Linked DNA regions of Neodiprion lecontei. The protein of the gene in region 2 interacts with the protein of the main gene of each other region in a pairwise test. Links are inferred from orthologs where the notes say so. Each region holds a gene or a part of one and is shown on either strand. Other genes may lie near its edges.

Region 1 (11,213 bases), on a different chromosome or scaffold from region 2:
CTATCTTTGTTGATAAGATCGCTTCAAACTTTGGAAAACTATATTTGCGCTATGATAAAGTGTTCAGTTCTGGAGTCCAGAGTGCTGTAACTGCAAAGCGAGTCACAATCAGCTGCGAGTATATTGACAGTATTTTTTGTCAACTTTCCCCAATCATGAAAGATAATTTTGACCGTATGCGCCATGATTTTCCTAAGTTTAGAGAGATTTTGTAGGTCAGGAGTGGGGAGAACAGTCAAACATGATTTGCTGGATTCGTGGGTAAAACAGGGAGATCTGACATTCTGTTTACTTTTAATTCAATGGGTTTTCAATACAAGATTCGGTATGCCAATTGACTAAATTTTATATCAATATTAGGATACATTCGTACGTGCTACAACGTGGGTGAAGGAACTTCAACGGCAAGCGAGCCCAAACATAGTTATAGCACTCGCAGGTAACAAGTCTGATCTGGGTAACAAAAGAGTCGTCGAGTTCGACGAGGCCCAGACTTACGCAGATGAAAACGGTCTCCTGTTCATGGAGACGTCTGCAAAAACTGCCATGAACGTCAACGATATATTCTTAGCTATCGGTAATTTCATTTCTAATATACCCAAAAATTAGTTGATTTAATCTCCCACCGAGATCGACATTTTTTGACAGTCAACGAAAATTGACGAACCTGCAAGTGACTGCTTTGCAAAATGTTTCAGCTAAGAAGCTTCCAAAGAATGAACAAACCGGCAGTGCAGGTACCAGTGGTCAAGGTCGTCGATTAGTTGAAGTAGAAGGACAAAAGACAACCACTAGCAACTGCTGCAAGTGATTTTTCACAAACAGTACGTGTAATGTATGATAATATTAATTTGTTACATATTTTTGTTGTAGCTGTTAGGTTTAATGCCTCTTGGAATCCTACAAAGCAAGCGGAAAATTTATTTGTACATTGCATTTATGTTAACTAGATACATTTTTGTAATATAATTCTTATATTAAGATGGATTTGAACTTGTTCAATCGTGTAACAACAAAGCTTCTTTCTCTCCAATTGAAAAACTTGTAAAATTATCCTCAGTCAAATCTCAATGAATTGCATAGTGAAACAGGTTGTCAAGAATTTATCGCCACAGTGACTATTATTTATAAATGGATAGCGATCAATCTTCAAAAGTAATGAGTGTATTCAAATGGTACTCCTTATATACCATTTATATTGCAGCAGCACCTCGTAAGCTGTCAAGTTTTCATTATTACAAATAAAATTTTAATTCTTCTATGTACAGTTGTTTCAATGGACAATTCCCAGCTTGCTTAAATATTAACATATCTAATCGAGTAAACTTTTTTTTCTTCAAACATCCTATGAACTACTATATAACATGTTTTGCAGAGGGCAAAAACGTTCAAATCCAAATTTTTTTTATCCATTTGCGACGGGGATTTGCGGTAGGCGGAAATATTGTTTTTACTGAAAAATAGATCTATCAGTATATATTACGGTCCTTGTCGGTATTTTCACAAATAAACGGGTACTGTTCAATGTCTCGTAATCGGTAAATTGTTATGGAATACGTGGAATCTACGATTGATGTCTAATTGCAGATATGTACCATATTCAGGAAAGATAAACAAACACACAGCGTGAATGTGTCTGCAAATGAGTGGGATGATAGAAAAAAAAAGAAACAGAAACACGAGGAAATGCTACTAAATTATAAAGAATGGGATGTATAGACACAGACATTTTTGCTCGAGCGATCAGCGTAGCACGGGTCTCTACTACAACTTTCAGCAACATCCTGCATTGTTGTTTAAGGCTTGAAAGCAGGCGGTGTTTTAATTCCCATTCGTAATACTAGCAGTAATGGGTGGTGTTCGTTATAAATATATAAATATATATAAATAAAATACATTATATAATAATGATAATAAATCATATAGGTGATATGATACATGTAATAAGTAATAGTAATAATAATAATAATATAATTACATAAATGGTAATAACACCGACGACGATTTGGGCACGCAAAATCATGTAAGATAGTGGGGAGCCATTCCTGCTGCTATATAATATATTATTATAAAAAACTTTCTTTATTAGATCGTATCGTATATAACACTTATTATCTATTCTAATATTGATATAAAATATATTGTATATTAATTTGATTGGAAGAAGATAAACATCATGATAAATTATGAATTATTATACGAGGATGAAAATAAACTTGTGAATATAATGATTTTGCAATGCGTGTGTGCTTTTTATCATATACATATATAAAATTATTATTACTATTATATCTATTATGTAGCTCTGAGGATAATTTATTAAAACTTTACACTTAATTATAAACAATATGGTTCTCAGCTAATTACCTTTTTTTCATTTTTCACGTATTCCAAATTCTTCTTCGAAGCACTCGTTATTTTCACAGTCAAGGTAAAACAAAAAACACTTAGGGCAAATTCTGTCATACTCTAGTTATATAGGCGTCAGCTCTGTAAACATAAGTGTTGTACATGATTGCCATAAAATGCTTACATACAGACGAAATGCGTATATAATTGTATATATTATTCGTAATTTTTCAACATGAGTCGATATATATGCATATAATTCGGCACATATTTACTTCTTTCTTAGATCAGTAAAACGAATATTCGAATTTTTCATTTTTTTCACAATATAAAATACGAAGTTGAATGACACACTGTGGTGTGATATTAAAATACAGGCAGGTACATTTTTTATTACTAATTTTTATTACTAGACTTCAAGCAATATGAAATCGTTTCTTTCCAATACAATAAAGTAGAAATGTATATATTTACATATATAATTATAACTTTCATCTAATAGTTTTTATGTGGAATTGTTTTCAACCGTTATGCAAGGTTTAAACCTTCAACGGTTTCTCATTCTTATTCGTCGTTGACTAATACTATAAAAACATGATGTGATCCCAATTCAAAAAATGTTGTAATATATCCAATGTGAATGATGCGTATAGTGGACCATTAAAATGATGGTGTATCCTACAAAGGGACAAATGTATAATATGTATAACGAATTCAATTACATTCACTGATTGATGATTCAATTTGATTGAAAACGAACAAAAATTACATGTATAAAATGGCAGTTTACAGGATCATCACATGATGGGGGTAAATTCATTAGATTAATGTGTAGAAATATGGGAAATTAACAAAGAAAACAGTGTTAAGTTTAGGGAGAATCTGACGTTGATGTGAGTTTTCGTCAAAAAGTTTATAAGTTTGCTTGTCAAAAATGGTTCCCGCTACTTTGGCTCATTGAAGATTATCCAAATTTAATATCACAAATTATAAAATATACCTTGAAGAGCACCAAAACTGTGCAGATGATTATATTAGGATCTTGTTGAATTTATAACACTATTCTATTGGTCACCTACCTTTGCTTGTTCAAAGCATACGATTAGATTTACATTTTTCTTTTAGATTAAAATCTGCGACAAAACAAGTATAAGTTCTCCTAATGATAATATAATATAAATGCTTAGAGTTACATATTTTTTTCCTTTTTTTTTTTAAATCTTATTATGACAGTTGAATATCACAATGTTGTTTTATTTCTAGGAGCATAAGCTCTTACATATCATATTGGTGGCAGGATGAAGCATGAAGTAAAAGAAAAATTGCTACATAGTTTGCAATGGATGGAAGATTGAAAAGCTGTATAAATGGAGATTCTACACATTCACTTCAGAACGGAATCTAGAGCCGCTGAAAAATGATTAACGAGTTTCAGTCGATATTTCAAATGCAACTTAATCGAATATGCCTATGGGGAATAAATTATACAACCAATTTAGTGCATTTGGGTAGTGGTTCAGGTAACTGGGGTGAAATTGTTACTCGTTCAAAGCAGATTTAACCGCCACAAACGTCGAGAGAGAGAAGGAGAGACAGTTTGAGCATTTTTCCACGTACGCACTTAATTCGTCCAAAGTGTAAGTGTAGAAGCATCATTATATGCCATAATGGTTTTAAGAAAGGATAGCAATGCTACGTCTCGGTCCACCTATACACACATTGTCCAAACTGGACCATTTTTTAATACCCTTACGTAATACTTCTGCCGTTACTTTGTCTTCGTATACCCTGGACATTGCCTCAAGCTTTTGTGCCTTCTCTTTGCTAAGCGGTTCACTAGGGAATGTTAGTTCATTAGCCTCTGCAAGCGTGCGGAGGTCGAAGTAGTATTTTGCGTACACGCTTGAAGGGACATTTATATTAAATTGTAGCATTTCCAGAAACTGCCTTTCCAATTCGTTCCTGCAACAAAATTCAGAAGCTGGTTTTATTTTGGGAATATATGGACAAATGTTACTCATCGATTTTGTTGAAACTTGTCATATTTGTAGACTAGTCACAAAGATTCGACATATATTTTTTTATACAGGCAATGGCTCAGTTTAGAGGGTAAAATAAACAAACAAAATCGCGTACTTATGCATACTCGTGCAAAAACAGATGTTCATTAACCCTTTCGGTACGGACGCATTCTACGTCGCGCCGTCCCCGCTGATCGAGCAGTCGCGGCAGGCGTCCGTACTTGCGGAACAACTGCAAGCGCCCGTCAGACGCACAATCCCACGCTATCTTACGCAGAGCTAGTGCAGTCGCTCGTAAAAAAAATGCTTAAAAAATTATAACATAATGTTGGGTTACCATGGTCACCGTTCGTACATAACGAGCGTCAAATGTTGGGTTACCATGGTCACCGCTCGTACAGAGCGAGCGTCAGGCATTGAGTGACTATAGTCACCGCTCGGACAGAGCGAGCGTCGGGCGTTGGGTGACTACAGTCACCGATAGGGCAGAAAGGGTTAAACGGACGTAAGATTTCACACACGGGTGTGTAAAATTTCATCTTGCGTTCCTGTAACTAAAAATATTATTTCAATTCCTGTAACTAACATATGTAATTCTTTTTCCACCACCTGATTGGAACGTTCGGATTTCAAAGCCTTTGAAGCATGCTGCTTGAAGTGCCTAATTTCCGAATAGTGCGATAAGACAACGGTATATGCACACAACTGAGATGTTCAGTTTTACATACTAGGGTTTTCTTTGGCGCATGTGCTCTTTCAAATAATTCAATATTACACACTGCGTCATTGAGTGTAAATTACCTGATCCCAATTTCACGCACTGTGAGTGGCACCTTTGGTGTTTCTCAAATCTAACTTCCTTTCACAGCTCTTACGACAGATAACGTATGTCGCATGTGCAGATCCGCGATATCTGACTCGTGTTATTACAGCTCTCATACACAGTATCTTGTGTTACAAATGTGAAAACTGGACAATTTCTAAAAAGTGTGAAGTTGGCGGCACGAATCGAAGGCAAGTGCTACGATCGCGTACGTCGAATATTGGAGTTAACATAGCTGCATACAATATACTATTTTTCAATGCCTTAATTTCAAGTTATTCGGCAATTCTTTCACAAGTTGACAAATAATAGGGGCTGTTTCACCCTCAAAGCTGAACCATTGCCAACACGAAAAAATATATACTATATTATTTATAACTGCTCTATTAGTATGCGAAGATTCAGCAAAATCTGCAAGTCACGCTAAGGTAACTTAAGTGGCTCACATCACCTACAGAGTGATTCTAACTTGAAACTTTCAATGTTTTCTTTCAACAATTTGGATTGTAGTGTTTTACTGTGCATTAAATTTAACCACACAAGACTTCGATGAGTTATTAAATGGGAAATATACATCCATGTATTCTATACATGTATGCGTGGGCCAAAACATTAAAGAGAAACTTTCCTGTTATTCCATGTGAAGCAGATCAGTCAACTTCTAGAATTTAATGCATTTTTTCTATTCTATTTCTTAGTGCGAAAAAAATGCCTTTTGCTTCCTTTAAAATTTGATATTATAAACCTTCTATTTTCTGATCCTTCTATATTTTTACCCCTAATATGCACACAAGTATTGTATTTTGCGATGTGATATTTCAGATTTCTAGATTAAACGAATTTATGCATTTAGAATCGAGTAATGTGATGGTATAAGTACGTACATGTCTTCCACAGTGATATCTTTAAGTATTTGACAATAGTCAACGTTCCACACTGCCTGATCATCCCACACCTTGGAAGATAAAAGTATGGCACCAAGTGCGATTCGCTTCCAATTAGCAGGAGTTATGTCAACTTCGGCATAAGTGAGAAGCCGTTCTAGATAAACTAGTGTTATAATAGCACATTCAGCTGTGAGCTGAGCGGCATTAAACAATGTTCTAATAAACTTGTATATTTGCTTATGCTCTGGATTATGTCTGTGATAGTCTTCAGAAACACCATCTCTCTGAAACACAAAATTCAGTTAACACACCTGCAATTTGAATAACCAAATAGATTAGTACTTGTATTAAAAGTACTCATAGCATTGTCTTTCACCGTAAGTGGGTGAAGTTTTTCATCGAATATGTCGATTTGACGTTGCGACGTTCGATTCTTAATGTGATAATATATAGCTAACGCGACACATTTAACGGTATTTTTAAGATTGGGTTGCGAAACGGTACTATCATCAAGATAGATGGTGCTACAACTGCTGCTTTTCTTCAACGTCCTTGTGTCAGCAATTTGGTGCTGACTTTTTTTCCTAACCATTCCATCTGCAAAATTGAGAACAATTCAGTGTAGCGACGTACAGATTGACACAGAATTATAGAAAAATAAAACTCACTTTCAATTGCCTGTTTAGATCGCTCCATAAAAATTGTGCCTGCACATGGATGTAGCGATGGGTCCGAGTCCCAATCTTCTGGTTCACGCTCGCTTATATGTTGCAAGTTATTCGCACTGATTTCACCCTCTGGAAGATGTTCCTCTAGCCCTCTGCCTCCGCACTCACGCCCTAATTCCTTCCGCCCTGTTTGAGGGCTTGCGTAAACACAGCAACTATTCTTATTGCCCATAACTTGATAGCTTTCTAATTTTTTAATATCTCACGACGATCTCGACGACCGACGATCTCACGAATATCTCCTTATTCTCTATACCGTTTTCTCTACTCGTTCTTTTCACTCCCTTCACGAAAACATTGAGGAGGTAAATGCTCGTAGCGCACAAGGATTAGACATAATTTGACAAACTAAATCTACATGTCAATTTGACACGATCAGCTGATGCGGGTCGTGGTGATGATGATGGTGACACGGGCGACAAAATACATTCCGTTGATTTTCATCGCGACCACTTACCGAGTCTCGTAAAACTTATTTATTCAACGCTCATTGATACTGAGTCCGGTAATTGTCTCAAGACTTCTGTTTGGCACACTTTGGATGAAACGAGCAGAAGTTACAATATAAAAAATATATGTATATATATCGTGTACACACACAGATGTAACCAATTGTAAACGGCTCCAATAACTGTGACACGCCTAACGCTGCTGCGAACACTTGCCGGCAATTTTTGAGGTTGAGTACCTCATCGGATCCTCGCTAGTATCATTTTACTGCGCATAGTAAACACGTTCTCTTAGAACAATATTAAACACCGCTTTTCATGAACCGCGGGGATGCGAATCAGTCTGTATACACAATTTCGACACGGGGGGGAGAGGTTTGTTATCTGCGAAACTTCGACGGCTGTACGAATAGTCTAATAGCATTTTTAACTGGTTGAGTTGAACAGAGTCCGGTCGGTTACTCCCATTTTCGCCGCCATCCTTTATCGAAGTGTTGAATAGATGATCTGATTGGATTTGGGCAGCTATTCCGCAGTGAATATATACTCTGTACCAATCAAAACGCTCGGATGAGGGTCATAATCAAGGGTGTATTCCGAAATATACTCGCAGTACTGCAAGTACTAGCAACCGCGTACCGAAATTGCGCGACAGCTTACTGCCGCCTGTCAGTGACGTCATGAAATTTGTGACATTGTTGACTGCGACTTCTGCGGCCTGGGATGTGAGGCAGTTGCAGTACTTGAGAGATGGCCGCGTCCTCGGTGTAGCGTTCCGATTTTACTGCGACTGGCAACTCGAAGTAAAAATGGAACGCAGTTCGCAGTTGACTGCGTGACGTCACGGTCGGCAGTACTGGAAGTATATTTCGGAATACATCCGAAAGCGAAGAACCGATAAAGCGGACCTGTATCTAACTATCGAGTCTAACTATATGAGTTACTGGAAGTAGTACCTGGTCCACACGCGGTTTAACTCGGTAAGTTCAGACAGGCTGAAGTTGTCGTGTAGACGTGCGCACTCATAGCCGCGCGGCGGAGGTTAAACTCATTTCAGAGCCTGATTAAGCCCCCGATATGCTTGGTAATATCGATAGATATGAATAGTATTGGTCGATCATAATTATTTACCAAGGTAAGAAGCTGATAAAAAATAGTGTAAATTTTGATTTGTAAAAAGGTAAGTGATAAAAAAAATTGCCATTCACTTCAAATACATGATTCCATATATTCGTAATCGTATTATAACTTTATTTCGTTTAGCTTTCAGCCGGTCACTAATGATGAATAAGAAATGGTTGCATGGTGCACCGTTATGTTTCTATTATCACTTTAAATCATTTTTTAGATCTACAACAATAAACGACGGCAGAAAGAAAAGGAAGGTTTTCGGTAATGATGAAACCCTTTTCTTCTCGGAGTCGATTATTCCGATATCTATCGATATTTAAGTACAGCGTGTAGACGCAACAAAGTATGCTTGTTGTTTAGTCGGCTAAGTTAAGTCTGGCGTGTAGACCAAGTATAGAACAGTTTTGATAAACCGAACTCCTGAGATTTTGGTTACTTATAACGTCTATCATATAATATCTTTTTACTGCTTTAAAACTATGTTACTTTATTTTACTGCAATGAGCTGCAATATTAAACACTCAAGTGGTGAACAGAACGTGACACGCCTTCTACGTATAAGTTATGTAACACTCCTAAATAAACAATAGCATTTCCATTTGATTTAAGGTCGTGTTAGCTATTACAAAGCTTCAAAGAATGCTGTTGATAATCAGACCTTGCGTGTGAATCATGTCAACCTTTGATAAAGCCGTATTTTAGGTGATATAGCGCTTCCTGGAAGCGATGCAAAACAGTACTCATGTCGCATGTCGTACTAAATATATTAAAACATACTATTTTGTACTATAAATTGTTCTATTCCTCGTATTATCAAGAATATTGCTAATGAACCCATAATTGAAACTTACATTTGTTCGCGAGTCAGAATTAATGAAGTATATTTTATCCATATAATCATTAATAAATAATTTTCTTTGCATCGATAGTTAATTAATTTCTTTAATTTTTATCATCCTTCTAGTTAAAAAATTTGAAGTAAGGTAAAATCCGTACACTAGAATATTCTGTTTCATTTATGAATCAAATTCCATCAGTTGAATTTACTGGAACATTTTTTCCAAACTGCTTCCATTCAAATATTTTGTGTCAATCTGCAAGGTCTAACTGGTCTAACTTTTCAGTTTGTCCGAAAAAGATCGGCTCCGCTTCGAAGAGAGAGCTATTGAGTCAGGGATGAAAGCGCATGCGCACTGACCTTGTTTCTATTAACTTGCCATTGTTAAGCTAACGATAAGAGAGCAAGCAGCATAATCAAAAATTTCTGACGTAGGAGACACAGAGTACCTCTAAGTTGGGCACAATTCAGAACCACAAAAAATTTAAATTAATGTTAAATAAAACTTTATTGTATTTTGAATGGTTTCGAAAATTCTGAGAACTAATTTTTAGTTGAAGATTAGAAGATATGATAATAAGAAACTTCTATAATATCATAACTTTTCGAAATATTTGTGCGAGCTTTCCATAAAATATATATCACTCAGAAAATGGGAAACGTAAATTAAGTTTTAAGTCATTGATATCTCATGATTTTGAATAATCTGTTTGCTTGCATTTTTGTATGAAGCACCAGCGACGTTTATTATGTGTATATTTACGCCCAACCCTACACAGATTCGAAAAACTTCTAAATGACGATTACCTTTTTTGAGCTGCTTACAAGGCATCTCTTTCAGCGATTTCAGTGATCTCTTTCCAACCAGTATAGTGTATGGAGATTTCGACGATGGCTAAGTTAAACGCGGCCTTGGGAACCGTAGTGCCTATTCCAGCATTCAACTCACGCGAAGATTAGATAATTCACCAACGTACAGGATGTTTCAGTAAAATACTGATAACAATCAATGATAAAAGCTTCGAATCTGTTGTTGTTTATTTCTATAGAGATATTTTTGAAACGTACAATTTTTGCTCTGTTAAATAATAGCATCGTGAGATGGATATAGAAAAATTAGTCAACAGGTAGTCCTTACGTAAGTCTTGTCTGTGTAAAATAGATAAATTATAATTTAATGCTGTATTTTCATGAAGACACAATATCATTTTCAATATATATTGTGACATAATATAGTCATACACATAATAAAACCTCACACATTAACGGTAAACAGAAATATGCCAGTAATTCGACAAATATCTAGAGATAGTGACACTTTTGAAACTCGGTGTTTACCTACTCATCGTCAGTCAAAAGTACCTAACTTGTAGTTACGCGTGTGTACATAACATACTATGATGTAGAAAATTAGGCTAATTGTAAAACGGCGTATAACTATACATATTTATACGTATTAAACTGCAGAGGAGAGATGACCGCCCACAACAATGTAGGCCGATATGAGAATTTCATTGAGCCCACGTGAATGCCTACCAAATAATATGCAATGACGTGATAATAACAATAACAGCGAATTCCAAAATCGTTGATTAATTGAATCGCTCGTTGCTTGTCAATAGTGTACATTTGTTATCTCACAAAGTAGAATAGAATTAATGAAATGGGTTAAAAGTAGATGAAACAAATTTCCACTCAACGTCTTAGTATTATTTCTTTTTTTTTTTTTTTTTGTGTTCCGCAAAGACACGATGCTGTGGGTGGGTTTCTTAATGTAAGCACAGCTGCCTGTACGCTTATATTGTACCACCATCGTTGGCCATGAAGTGGCCGGGGGCTCAGCACCAAACGAACTTTCGTATTGGTGCAGAAGGAGAAGAAAATGCTAAGAAACGATTCATTCGTACCTGCGCGACGAGGCCATAAAGCCGTGTATTACTACCTGAATCACCAACACAAACCGGCAACATCGAGTTACTCGGTATAG
Region 2 (10,981 bases):
TACACCATCTGTTCAAAAACAAATTGAAATAAGTGAGTTGATATGAAGTGCATTTTGGTTTGCAACTGTTGCACTCTCAGAGGTTTCTTCTTAACCAAAAACTTAAGCTCCATACAATTTTAAAATCAACTGCATATATGATGTGGCAATAATTATATCCAACATAACACGATTAGGTGATGTTGGAATTATTCTCAGAGTATCACAAGGAAATTTTGATTGCGCTACGAATCAACAAATTGAATTTGACATGTAATCAGGAAATAATTCTTTAGACAGCAGTTAATTTGAGTTTCCTAGATCACGAGTTTTAGATTCTTAGTCGAATTCCCTGATTTCTAGACTCTCAAGGTTTAAACGACCTTGATTTTTAATGCTTCCATAACCTAAAACCCAGGGAAGACATGAGACTGTCCTGAGGGACTTACGTCGCGAAGAAGTCGATGATCACCGGGATTTTCGAGTTCTTAACGCGGTCGTTGAAATCCTTTGGATCTTGAACAGTGAAAGCAGCCTGAACGGCGGGTTCTTGAGCCGGAGCATTTGCAAAGCCTCGTTTGACAGCGTTACACAAGATCCTGGTTCCACCGCGTAGCATGTTTTAGCCTAGAAATAAAATATGATGTGACGATCAACTTAGTATGCGATTAATTGATAATGGCAGGTGATCGCTGCCAAGTATTCTATCGAGTAATTTGAAATGTATCGGTATTTGTCTACGAGACGCATCAAATCACCTGAGTTCTTGATTGAATCTGAACGATGAATAATGCGATTTGCGGGTTGGATCCCTGACACTGCTACCAACATTTCGCCATCGTGAAAATAAAGTAATTTCTTACGTAACCATTTTTGAAGTTTGGAGGAAATTCTACTGTTAATTTAAAAAAAAAAGAAGCTTTAGATTAAACAAATAATCGAGAAGTACGCCGTCCTGGAATAAATATTTTCCTTAATTTGTTCATTAATATTTAGGTATATCTATAGAATTTTGTTACTTGAACATTTGTTTTTATTTTAATTGTATATCTATAAGTTATATTCTTATTGAAATTTGATTATGTAAGCACGTGGAATAGTTCGAGATTTTTTATCATCCAACGAGCGGCAGGGTGGCGGGAAGACGGGTGAGGCCGCAACCGTCCGCTTGCTAACTTGGGGTTCCGAATATTCTTATAAATCACATACTAAATACGAAACACGGACTTCGAAATTTTCTTTTCCATTCCATTTTCATTCTTGATAATACCGGAATTATTTCTCTGGAAATTACTGAAATCTTAGCTTATATATATATATATATATATACACACGCACACACACACACACATATATACCTATATATAGCTGGTCTTGTAATCTCTAATAAATAAAATAATCTACTTTAATCGAGTCTTCGGATTTGCAGGAATTTGGAGAAGCAAGGAATTGAAAAAAGTAAAAATAATTTGACTGAGCAATAATAATTATAATTCATAATAGGAACAAAAAACTTTGTTTGCCTCGTTACTGGTAGGAATATTAAACATTAGTCAGTAATCGTCTTTGTATTCGGTTGTGCTTAATCCAACACTGCTTAAGTCCTATCCATAATTCTCTAAAGCCACCTTTAGTCCCTCCTCGTTTCTTGCTGTAAATATTCAAGTAGATTCCAAGAACGACGATCAGGCCAGACCACACATATTGGAAGGTGAATGGTTTGTAAAAGAACATAAAGCTAATCAAAATCGATATCGCTTTTCTGCATGTCGTAACAGTTGCTGCAACGAATGCTCCGCAGCATTGGACCAGAGTCAAAACAATCTGTATACCCAAGTAACCGGACAGTGAAAAGAGCAGGCCAAGTCCATACGTTTCAATAGGATGCTGAAACAAGTAATAATATATATAAAAATGAACCAAAAAGAGTAACAACATCCACAACAATCTTTAAATTGGGTTGAATGTTTTTTTACCTCGGCACAGAAAGAAGCACCCGTCTGTAGGTCGGATATTGTCAACAGTATCAGGAATAAGTAGACGAATCCAATGCTGTATGAGAATAGGACAACCTCAGTGTTCGACGCCTTGTGCTCGCGCATGGCCTTCTCCTGAATGTTTCCTATAGCCGCATCACATAACAGGGCGCAACTGATCATCATGATGCCGACTGGATCGAATCGAGGGGAAATTATACTGTCGGCAACTGTGAAGAGCGCTAAGCCTATGCACATCAGAATTGCAGCGAGAAAATCCAAGGGGCCGTATTTTTTGCCCTGTATCAAGATACTGCCTATTAGGACTGGGACTAGCTTGCAGCATTTGAATATCACCTAAAGGACATAATTCACAAACGTTTTATAAAGTTAATTGTTATTTGCTTTGCAATCACAAAATTGTTAGATGATTATTTCTCTCAAAAAATAGTCAAATATGCCAATATTCGATAAAACATTTGATACAATATTTCACTGAAAAAAGAGTTACTATTATCATAAATTCTTTCAGCAGTTGAGTTCAACTTGAGTGAAGCTAAATAGTGGACATGCAATTGCAACCGAGGAAAAGAATTACTGGCTGTCAGTCAATCTTGCATTAATTTTTACCTGTGTCGGATAATTCAAATATCCTAATGAGGAATTAGAGAATCCCATAGTGCCAAGGGTAAGGAGAGCAAGTAGTAAATAAGTGCCCAAAGGTATTCTTCGAGTGACTCCTTTTATCCGACATTCGATCCATCCAAAAATTGTATAATATCCAAATTGGATGAGAGTGAGGTACCAACCGAACGGTTGGAATCCATCGAGGGTAAATATCCGCTCCTGTGAAGTATGAAAATTGTATCAAAAGGTACTAACCCATATTATGCATTTTGTGAAAATAGTTTGTTACCTGTAAATATCCGTATAAAAGATAAAAAACGAAAACCCCAGTGGTGCACCATAGAAGTTGGGCCTTCTGGCTAGCGTTAGTTAAATCAAAGCACAAAATTTTGATCTCCCTTTTATCGCCCTGTTTTCTTAGGCTACTGTTCAAATTCTCTATGTGTACGGTTTTAAAATCCATTGCAATGAGCGGGTATCAAGTTGCCGTATACGAGCGTGTGACACTTCGTGGCAACGTCAAAGAGAGCTGTTCAAGAGATTCTCAGATTTTAATCAACTGAACGTCAAGCGTGTTCATATTTTTCGTCAACACTTGAACCGATTGTTTGCTTTTAACAAGAGCATTCATAACTCGCTGACACGTGTTACGTATGTGTGTATAATACGCTGTATTTACATAATTTACAAATGTAATTTACATAATTTCCATTCCCTATTATTTTGACAGTTGTACCGTAGCGCACATACAAATGTTGCACGTCGCACAGATCCGCCGCCGCTCCACGCCGCTCATCGCTTCCGCATACCCTTCGATTAGGTGGAAATGTGAGCTAAGGTCGTAGGCAAAATTCGCGGAGTCTCTATCCTTTTTTACGGACTTACGATAGAAAAGGACACGCATGCATCTGGCAAATTACCCTAGCGTTCAATACTCGTTGAATGCGATTAGTTTGCCAATGCATTAGGTGACAATAATATACTTGCCAATTTTTTTGAAACGTTGAAAAGGTACAGGCGTTGAGTTTCTGGTTCACCGAATAATTAATATGTTGAAACTGTTGGGTATTCTAAAACAGGGCGTAACTTCCAGAAGTTTTGACGTATTCTAAGTTTGAAAACGATCCAAATATGCAAAAAATAATTAAAAACATAGTGTACAAACTTCTGAATTACCGACCGGCACTTCGTCTGGAAGATGGAATCAAATATTGCCTAGAGTTAACTCTTCTCCGTAGTATAGGTCCCGGGTGATTCAGGGCTGCCAACGTGAGCAAAGAAAATCATGATTGAAAGATATTATGGTAGTCAACTCTCTTATATTCATATTCAACGGTGCCACGGAGCGCTCGAGTAGTATAAGCTGTCGAGTGAAGTTTGCTCCTTCTTCGATATCGTTATTCACGGGTCGAAATTTTTTTACGGAGTTAAAAGTCATATTTACAAGGGATTAACATTAGTCATTTAAATTAACATCAGGTATTCGAGTGTGAAGAGAAGGCGGGAAGGAGGTAATTCGTCGGTGTAATGTGCGTGCAAGTTTTCGGCTAACGACGGATAGGTTAAAACAGAGCGTATACTAGAAATATTTTTTCGCTACTGCTTCTTCTTAAGAAAAGTTTCGGGTTTTTAAACGATTGCACTTTGAGGTGGTAACAGTGCGATGCAGGGGGCAGTCGCTCGGTCAGTTTTGTACTTTTCTGTTGTGTAGCCACACGGCACCCACGGCACACATCACAACCGCTCGGGAGAATCGACAGAAGCTGGGGTCAGCTTCGTGTTCGAGATATCAAGTCCAATGATCGTTCACTCGAGATAGCAGTTAATTCTCGAGCGTGGGACAGTAGAAGATCCGCGAATATCCGTGCTTAACGGATTATACCAGAAAGAAAGGAGTCGGGAAGGAAGGAGAGAGAGAGAGACAGAGTGAGAGAAAGAAAAGGGAGAATTTCCTTGCTAAGAAAAAAGTAATATGTAACAATAATCAGTCTCGATAAAAAGTGTCCGTCCTTTGACATCGCGAGTGTGTGAACGTCGTGAGAAAATAGAATGAAGTAAAGCAAAGTAAATCAGCTAAGCCGGAGAGAGGAAATTTTAATGGCGATCGGTTTAACGTGTTGTGACTTTTTACCAAATTTCAACATCGGCTCAATTCGTCGGTGAGAATCGGAACCTGATGTGTCCCCACCCATGTTTGTGAATGAATAATCATGTACTGTCAAGATAAGGGCTCAGTCGCCTCGAAAAGCAAAGAAGGTAAGTCTACCGCACTTGGCGAACCTTGCCGACGAGCACGACCGAGTTTCCTGCAATTTTCCCGGCTGCGATAGTCGTGTGTTGTTTGTTTTTTTTTTTTTCTGTATTGTTTTCTCGATATATTCTTCTTCGATCGTTATTTACCGTCCCGCTAATCTGCTAAAATCAACGGTTAATTTCTTTTTTTTTTTTATACCTCCTTGCCCTTTGTCCGTCACCGACAACGGCAACGAGCGAAAGGCCGGGAGGGGGGAAAACAGAACTAGACGGACGTCAAGTGCCCCGTAAAATGCGGGGGTGGATGACTGGACTAGGTGACTGGACTTGAGAAGGAGACAGCCGGCCAGCCAGGGCATTTCTCGAATACCTTTAAACTCACGCGAACCTTAACAAGATCCGTAAAAAAACATTTGCCGTCGCTCGATTGACTAGACGTCAAAAGGACGCCGTCGCTTCTCGCGTGTGTTTTTCTACTCACACATAAAATTTCAATGCGACAGACTTGATCGCGTTCTGTCATCTCGTAGTATCGAATACCGATTGATTGTTAGAGGAACAAATCTCTAACGTGACAATTGATTTATTAAACTTTGCTTGGCATGATACAGGCTAATTTTCATAATTCATATCACCTACGATTTATTGTCGAGCACTAAATTGGACTGGACTATTCAGCTCTCTTAACGTTATCAAGATTGAGGGCAGGGGCGGGGGGAAGAGCACTGGCATGCCGTTTGTGCAAGTGGTGAATGACGTCACTGTGTATAGTGAATGCTTGTGTGATGGTCAAGCGGTACGATGAGTCGTTCATATGACGTAGTTCTCTGTCATTTCTCGGTATGCGTGCTATAATTTACATTCTGTATTCTTACGATACAGTTGCTTATTACAATTAATTATTAATCGTATCTAGGTTCTGTGACGATGCGCGAAAAGAAGGGAGGCGCCTTAAGCAGAGTCCAAAAGCTCAAGAAACGCCTTAGCCATAGTTTTGGCAGACTTTGTAAGTACCGTTTTATGACTCTTATCGATATGACTAATGTCACACTTCGTATGCACACTCCTTAACCAGCGCCACTTCCTATTTTGAAATTAGTTCCAATGAATTTTATTGTTAAATTATTCCTTTTACAGATTGACGTGCGTCAAATATATAATAAAACATGGAAAGGTCTGATACAAGAATAAATGCTGCCTCAGAAGTAGAATTCTTTGATAGGTTGAATATTGTTTTGCTACCATATCAGTTATATCATGATTAGTTTCCTGTGGATTGTTTTAACAGTAAATAAAGTGTAAACTGATAAGGAAAGAGGCAAGTACGCGGTCTTACCATACTTGGTAAATCTAATAATCCCGGCAATAGCAAATATTCATAAGCAGGGTAGGCGGAAGTGGCCAATTGGAGCATAAGGAGTTAAAAACAAATATAAGTGTATTGTAAGAATTTTGTGGACAGAAATGTTACCCAGTTATTATGTTTCATCATCTTTTTACTTCCAGCAATATCTAAGGAAGAAGCAGACGATGTTGCCACAAGGGAACACCAGTTACCGTATAACGGGTATTCAGAAGAATTTCTCGATCGTTTAGAGCCAAATGGTAACATACCTACCGACAAAGATCGACGATATGGTTAGTAAAGTTTTAAAAATTTGAAAAATTTGCATAAAAATGATCTGCAAAACAAATTTCACTTGTAACATTCAAGGGATTTTCATTTTCTTATATTACTTTGTTTGATCATTTACTGTTAGAGGCATAAAAAATTATTTCTGTTGTACTGCCAGACACGCAAAATTCAAGTAGAATACAGATCGATTCTCATCATGATGTTTGTATCTCCAACAAACGTGTGGATAATCGTACACACATCACGGCTTGTATCTCATCACGTTGTCGATGTTATCAATCACTTGTATTGAGTAAAATGTTGGACGTCATTTCACATTTAGCATACCTGTGAAACTTCTATCGTTATTCTATTCAATTATAAAATAACACTATGGTCATTGTAATATGAACTTGAAAGCTTCAACGTAAATGCTTATGACGCAGTCATAATAGCTGCAAACAAATTCTCATAACATGTCTGGTAAAATTACCAAGTCACTCGATAACAGCGTGTGCATCTTTATATTGGTTGATATCAGACAAGGTGTTAAAATTCTGTTACCACAAGTGTTTTTAGCTATAGCTAGGTAGATACATACATACATACATACATGCGCTGGAGCTGATTTAGAGTTGAGTCAAACTGTTAACTAACGTGATAATTTTCGTTAAACATGCTTAATTATATTTTCGATTGCTTCATTACTATACGGCAAAGACAAGACACGTTCGTATTAATACACGCATGCTAAATACCCGCTTTTTAAAAATAATACCTATTTACCATTGCTGTATACAAATGATAAGAAGCGGGTCATAAAGAAGGGCTATACAATCTACAAATAGAAATATCTGTTTCGCAGAATATGCAACATATTATTTTCTTTTACTCAGTTGCCTTGTGGTAGATCGCAGATATATAAATATAAATAGATATATATATGTATATATATATATATATCTATTTACAATGTCAACTAGTCAAACAGAGCAAGTAGAATAAAATGAAATATTTCGTCACATTAAGTCTTTGTCTTCTTTTCTCTAAGTTTGGTTAGCGATGAAAACGAAAACCTGTTGGGCTAATTAAAAATTATTTTCAATGTTGCAGAGTGGGCGGGTGTCGGTGAACACGAGAGAGTGCATCGACAGCTCTCTGTTTCTAGTGATTCTAAGCTCCTCGATGTAGATATAAGGGAAGAGGCAAGGGTGGTTCTACGGAATCGACGTCCTCCTCGTCCAAAATCCGAGGTTTTCCTAGGGCCCGACCCTCCCCCGAGACGGGCAAAACGTTTCTCTGCATTCGGGGTAAGTTGTATCACCTGTTGTCAATAACTTCGATGAAACTGTTTATTCGAAACCTTAAATATTCTTCATGTTCACAGGGAGATTCGCCGTTTGGTAAATCAGATGCCTACATCAAACTGGAGCAGCTTGGAGAGGGTTCTTATGCTACAGTATTCAAAGGGTACAGTAATCTGACAAACCAGGTTGTCGCTCTTAAAGAGATTAGACTACAGGAAGAGGAAGGTGCACCTTTCACTGCCATTCGTGAGGCCAGCCTTTTAAAGGAGCTCAAACACAGCAATATAGTTACACTCCATGATATTGTTCACACTCGTGAAACTCTTACTTTTGTATTCGAATTCGTTCACACCGACTTGTCACAGTACATGGAGAGGCACGGCAGCGGAGGAGGGGGCCTTGATCCGCGAAACGTTCGGTTGTTCCTATTTCAACTACTCAGAGGACTAGCTTATTGTCATCGCAGGTGAGTTCTTGCATTCTCTGTTAGAGAAGAGTTTTGATTTAACGAACAGATTTTACTTTCTCACAGGGAAAATGAATTTCATACTTTGCAAAGCAAGTAGATTGCTTTACATAGTGATTCAGGGTATCGATGAATTGTGCAAATTATTAACGGGAGAGAAAAATGTGGGAAAAAAATTAGAATTTGTACTTCGCAACAATATTCCAGTATCTTATCTATTGCGTAGTCTCGATTGATTTAAAATATATGAGATTTCTAGAAATGAAAACTTCATACAACTGATAATGACGTATGTTATTAGGTCAAGCTAGATATTCGGTGGATAAATAGTATTTTACATTTACGATTTTTGTATTTTGACTGAGTACAGAATTAAAAAAGAACCTGAATCCGTTCCCTGCTTTTAAACGTTTTTGTTGTGGTATAATAATACCAATTTTGTCGCATACGTCTACTTGAGTACAGGATAATAAATGTCTTGGAAGAATTAAATTTTCCGCTTAGAAAATCTGGAATTTCCAAGGGTATATCCCAGCATGATATTACAGTCAATATCCTGTACACGAATACAACAAAGAAAACAAATGTGACTAATGTTCATAATAACAAATTACAGAAGAGTACTGCACCGTGACGTGAAACCCCAAAACCTGTTGATAAGTGAAATAGGCGAATTGAAATTGGCGGATTTTGGTCTGGCTCGGGCAAAGTCAGTACCGTCGCATACCTATTCACATGAGGTTGTGACGCTGTGGTACAGGCCGCCAGATGTGCTGCTCGGTTCGACGGAGTACTCGACTTCATTGGACATGTGGGGCGTTGGATGCATATTTGTAGAAATGTTGACAGGGCTGCCGACTTTCCCAGGTGTCCGAGATACTTATGATCAACTCGATAAGATATTCAGAGTTCTTGGAACACCGACCGAAGATAGTTGGCCAGGCGTCACACATCTACGTGGATACCAAGCCCACAAACTAGCATTTTATCCATTGCAAAAATTGGGACTTTCCTTTCCCAGGCTGTACGATGTTCCTGAAGGTGATAATATGGCCTCCGCACTTTTACAGCTAAATCCAGATGATCGGATAGGCGCTGATGACGCTCTTAGGCATCCTTATTTTGCGACACTTCCGCCAAAACTTTACGAGTTGCCTGACGGTAAGTTGGTCCTTGTTTCCTGAGGTGGATTTTTCAGTTTGTCAATCTATAAAGAGGTAGTTTTTACCCCTAAACTTGAAGTTCAAAATGAAATTTAAACACATGTTATGCAAAATTCTTATTCCCGAAACATTTATCTGAATTTGCAAGATGAATCAATACTTTCTGTCCTTTATAACAACAGAATGGATATGTAAAATAGGCAAAATCTCCCTGGGTAATATTTAGGTGTCTAAATTTCGTAATAAAGAGGGTAGAGTACCCTGTGAGAAAACTTGATTTTGTCGGCAAGTTGGATATATTCATTTATTTTGATGGTAAAAAACTCTCTTCTTTCTTACAGAAGTGTCCATATTTAGTGTCGAGGGCTGCCATTTATTCACGGAATCGCGGCACTCTGCTCTGAAGACTTGAGACTAGCATAATTGTTGAGTTGTAACAGAGAAAAATATAAGAAGAAATTAGGAGAAGTAATGGCCAATCTACAAGTTCAGAAATATAGGCACCAGTGCGTTGCCTGCTCTCTCTATATCTCTCTCTCTCTGCCTCTTTTAGGGCCACTCGACTTCCAACATACCACAAATCGATGATGGTTTTTTTCTGAGAACAATTATTGCAATCAAATGATAAATGAATCGATGAAAAAAAACCAGTCTGAAGAATACGTATATAAAAAAAAAAAAGCTAACGAAAAAGAACCCTAAGTTTTAACGTAAAGTAAAAGTGAAGGGAAACGAAAACATAAAATAGAAAATTACCTACTACCTACACTACATAAAGGAAATTTCTTTCTCGAAAAAAAAATACTTAAACAATGAAAAGAAAAAAGAATACTAAATTTATAGTGTCAGAAATGCACGCTGAATTTAGAAAGCAAAGCACGCACGACCCATCCTCGCACTTCGTCCAAATACTAGCTTTAGACTGACACCAATCAAAAGTAAAGCCTGTCGTCCCATGTCCCATCAATTTGAACCATCCAAGGCCATGGGGATGGCGGCAATTGACTAGCGAGAATATAATTAAATAAATGATTAAATAAATAAAATTAAATGAATAATTATAACGATATTAGGAAGACCCTAGAGGATTTGTAACGCTTTTTGGGCCAGACAAACCACCTTTGTTACTCTGATCAATTATTTCTATCGTAGGAACCGGGTAATAAGTAAGAGGTGATTGTAGTGGCTATGTGTCAATATTATTAAGTACTAACATACATGCATACACACATTCATAAATACAGAGCCAAGGAAAGTGTTACACGTCTTCTAAATTTTATCTAAGTTACGATATCGACGGATTATTATCGATTAATACGGCGATACATATACTATTATACCTACTCCCTACCCTCCCTTAGTAGTTTATATTTATACCGATTTGCAGCACACTTTGATAAAAAATATCAACGAGAGAAAGACGATGGTGGTGATGATGATGATGATGATGATGATGATTATGATGATTATGATAAGATGATGAGATGATTATGATAATGATGGTGATGATGAAAATGCAAGAATAAGAAATGAGTAACTTGCTGAATAAACAGAAAAATAATATTGAACAAAAGGATTGAACATTATTATGATTA

What was found.
Region 1: the proteins of cyclin-dependent kinase 14 (region 2) and cyclin-Y-like protein 1 interact in a two-hybrid assay, tested with the Drosophila melanogaster proteins (2 studies listed by BioGRID). The link is inferred for Neodiprion lecontei from reciprocal best matches to the Drosophila melanogaster genes Eip63E and CycY.

The regions. Positions count from the first base shown.
Region 1 is NC_060261.1:13,526,370-13,537,582, forward strand, and holds cyclin-Y-like protein 1, read right to left. Parts: upstream 7,877-11,213; 5' UTR 6,981-7,876; coding exon 6,749-6,980; intron 6,678-6,748; coding exon 6,457-6,677; intron 6,365-6,456; coding exon 6,078-6,364; intron 4,312-6,077; coding exon 4,023-4,311; 3' UTR 1,744-4,022; downstream 1-1,743. Other genes in the region: ras-related protein Rab-5B, read left to right, coding at 361-577, 699-811.
Region 2 is NC_060264.1:29,029,049-29,040,029, forward strand, and holds cyclin-dependent kinase 14, read left to right. Parts: upstream 1-3,925; 5' UTR 3,926-4,792; coding exon 4,793-4,838; intron 4,839-5,056; exon of another isoform or gene 5,057-5,675; intron 5,676-5,751; coding exon 5,752-5,841; intron 5,842-6,341; coding exon 6,342-6,473; intron 6,474-7,563; coding exon 7,564-7,760; intron 7,761-7,837; coding exon 7,838-8,223; intron 8,224-8,839; coding exon 8,840-9,384; intron 9,385-9,727; coding exon 9,728-9,798; 3' UTR 9,799-10,101; downstream 10,102-10,981. Other genes in the region: thioredoxin, mitochondrial, read right to left, coding at 1-8, 429-598; adenosine 3'-phospho 5'-phosphosulfate transporter 2, read right to left, coding at 1,522-1,866, 1,956-2,312, 2,586-2,801, 2,872-3,045.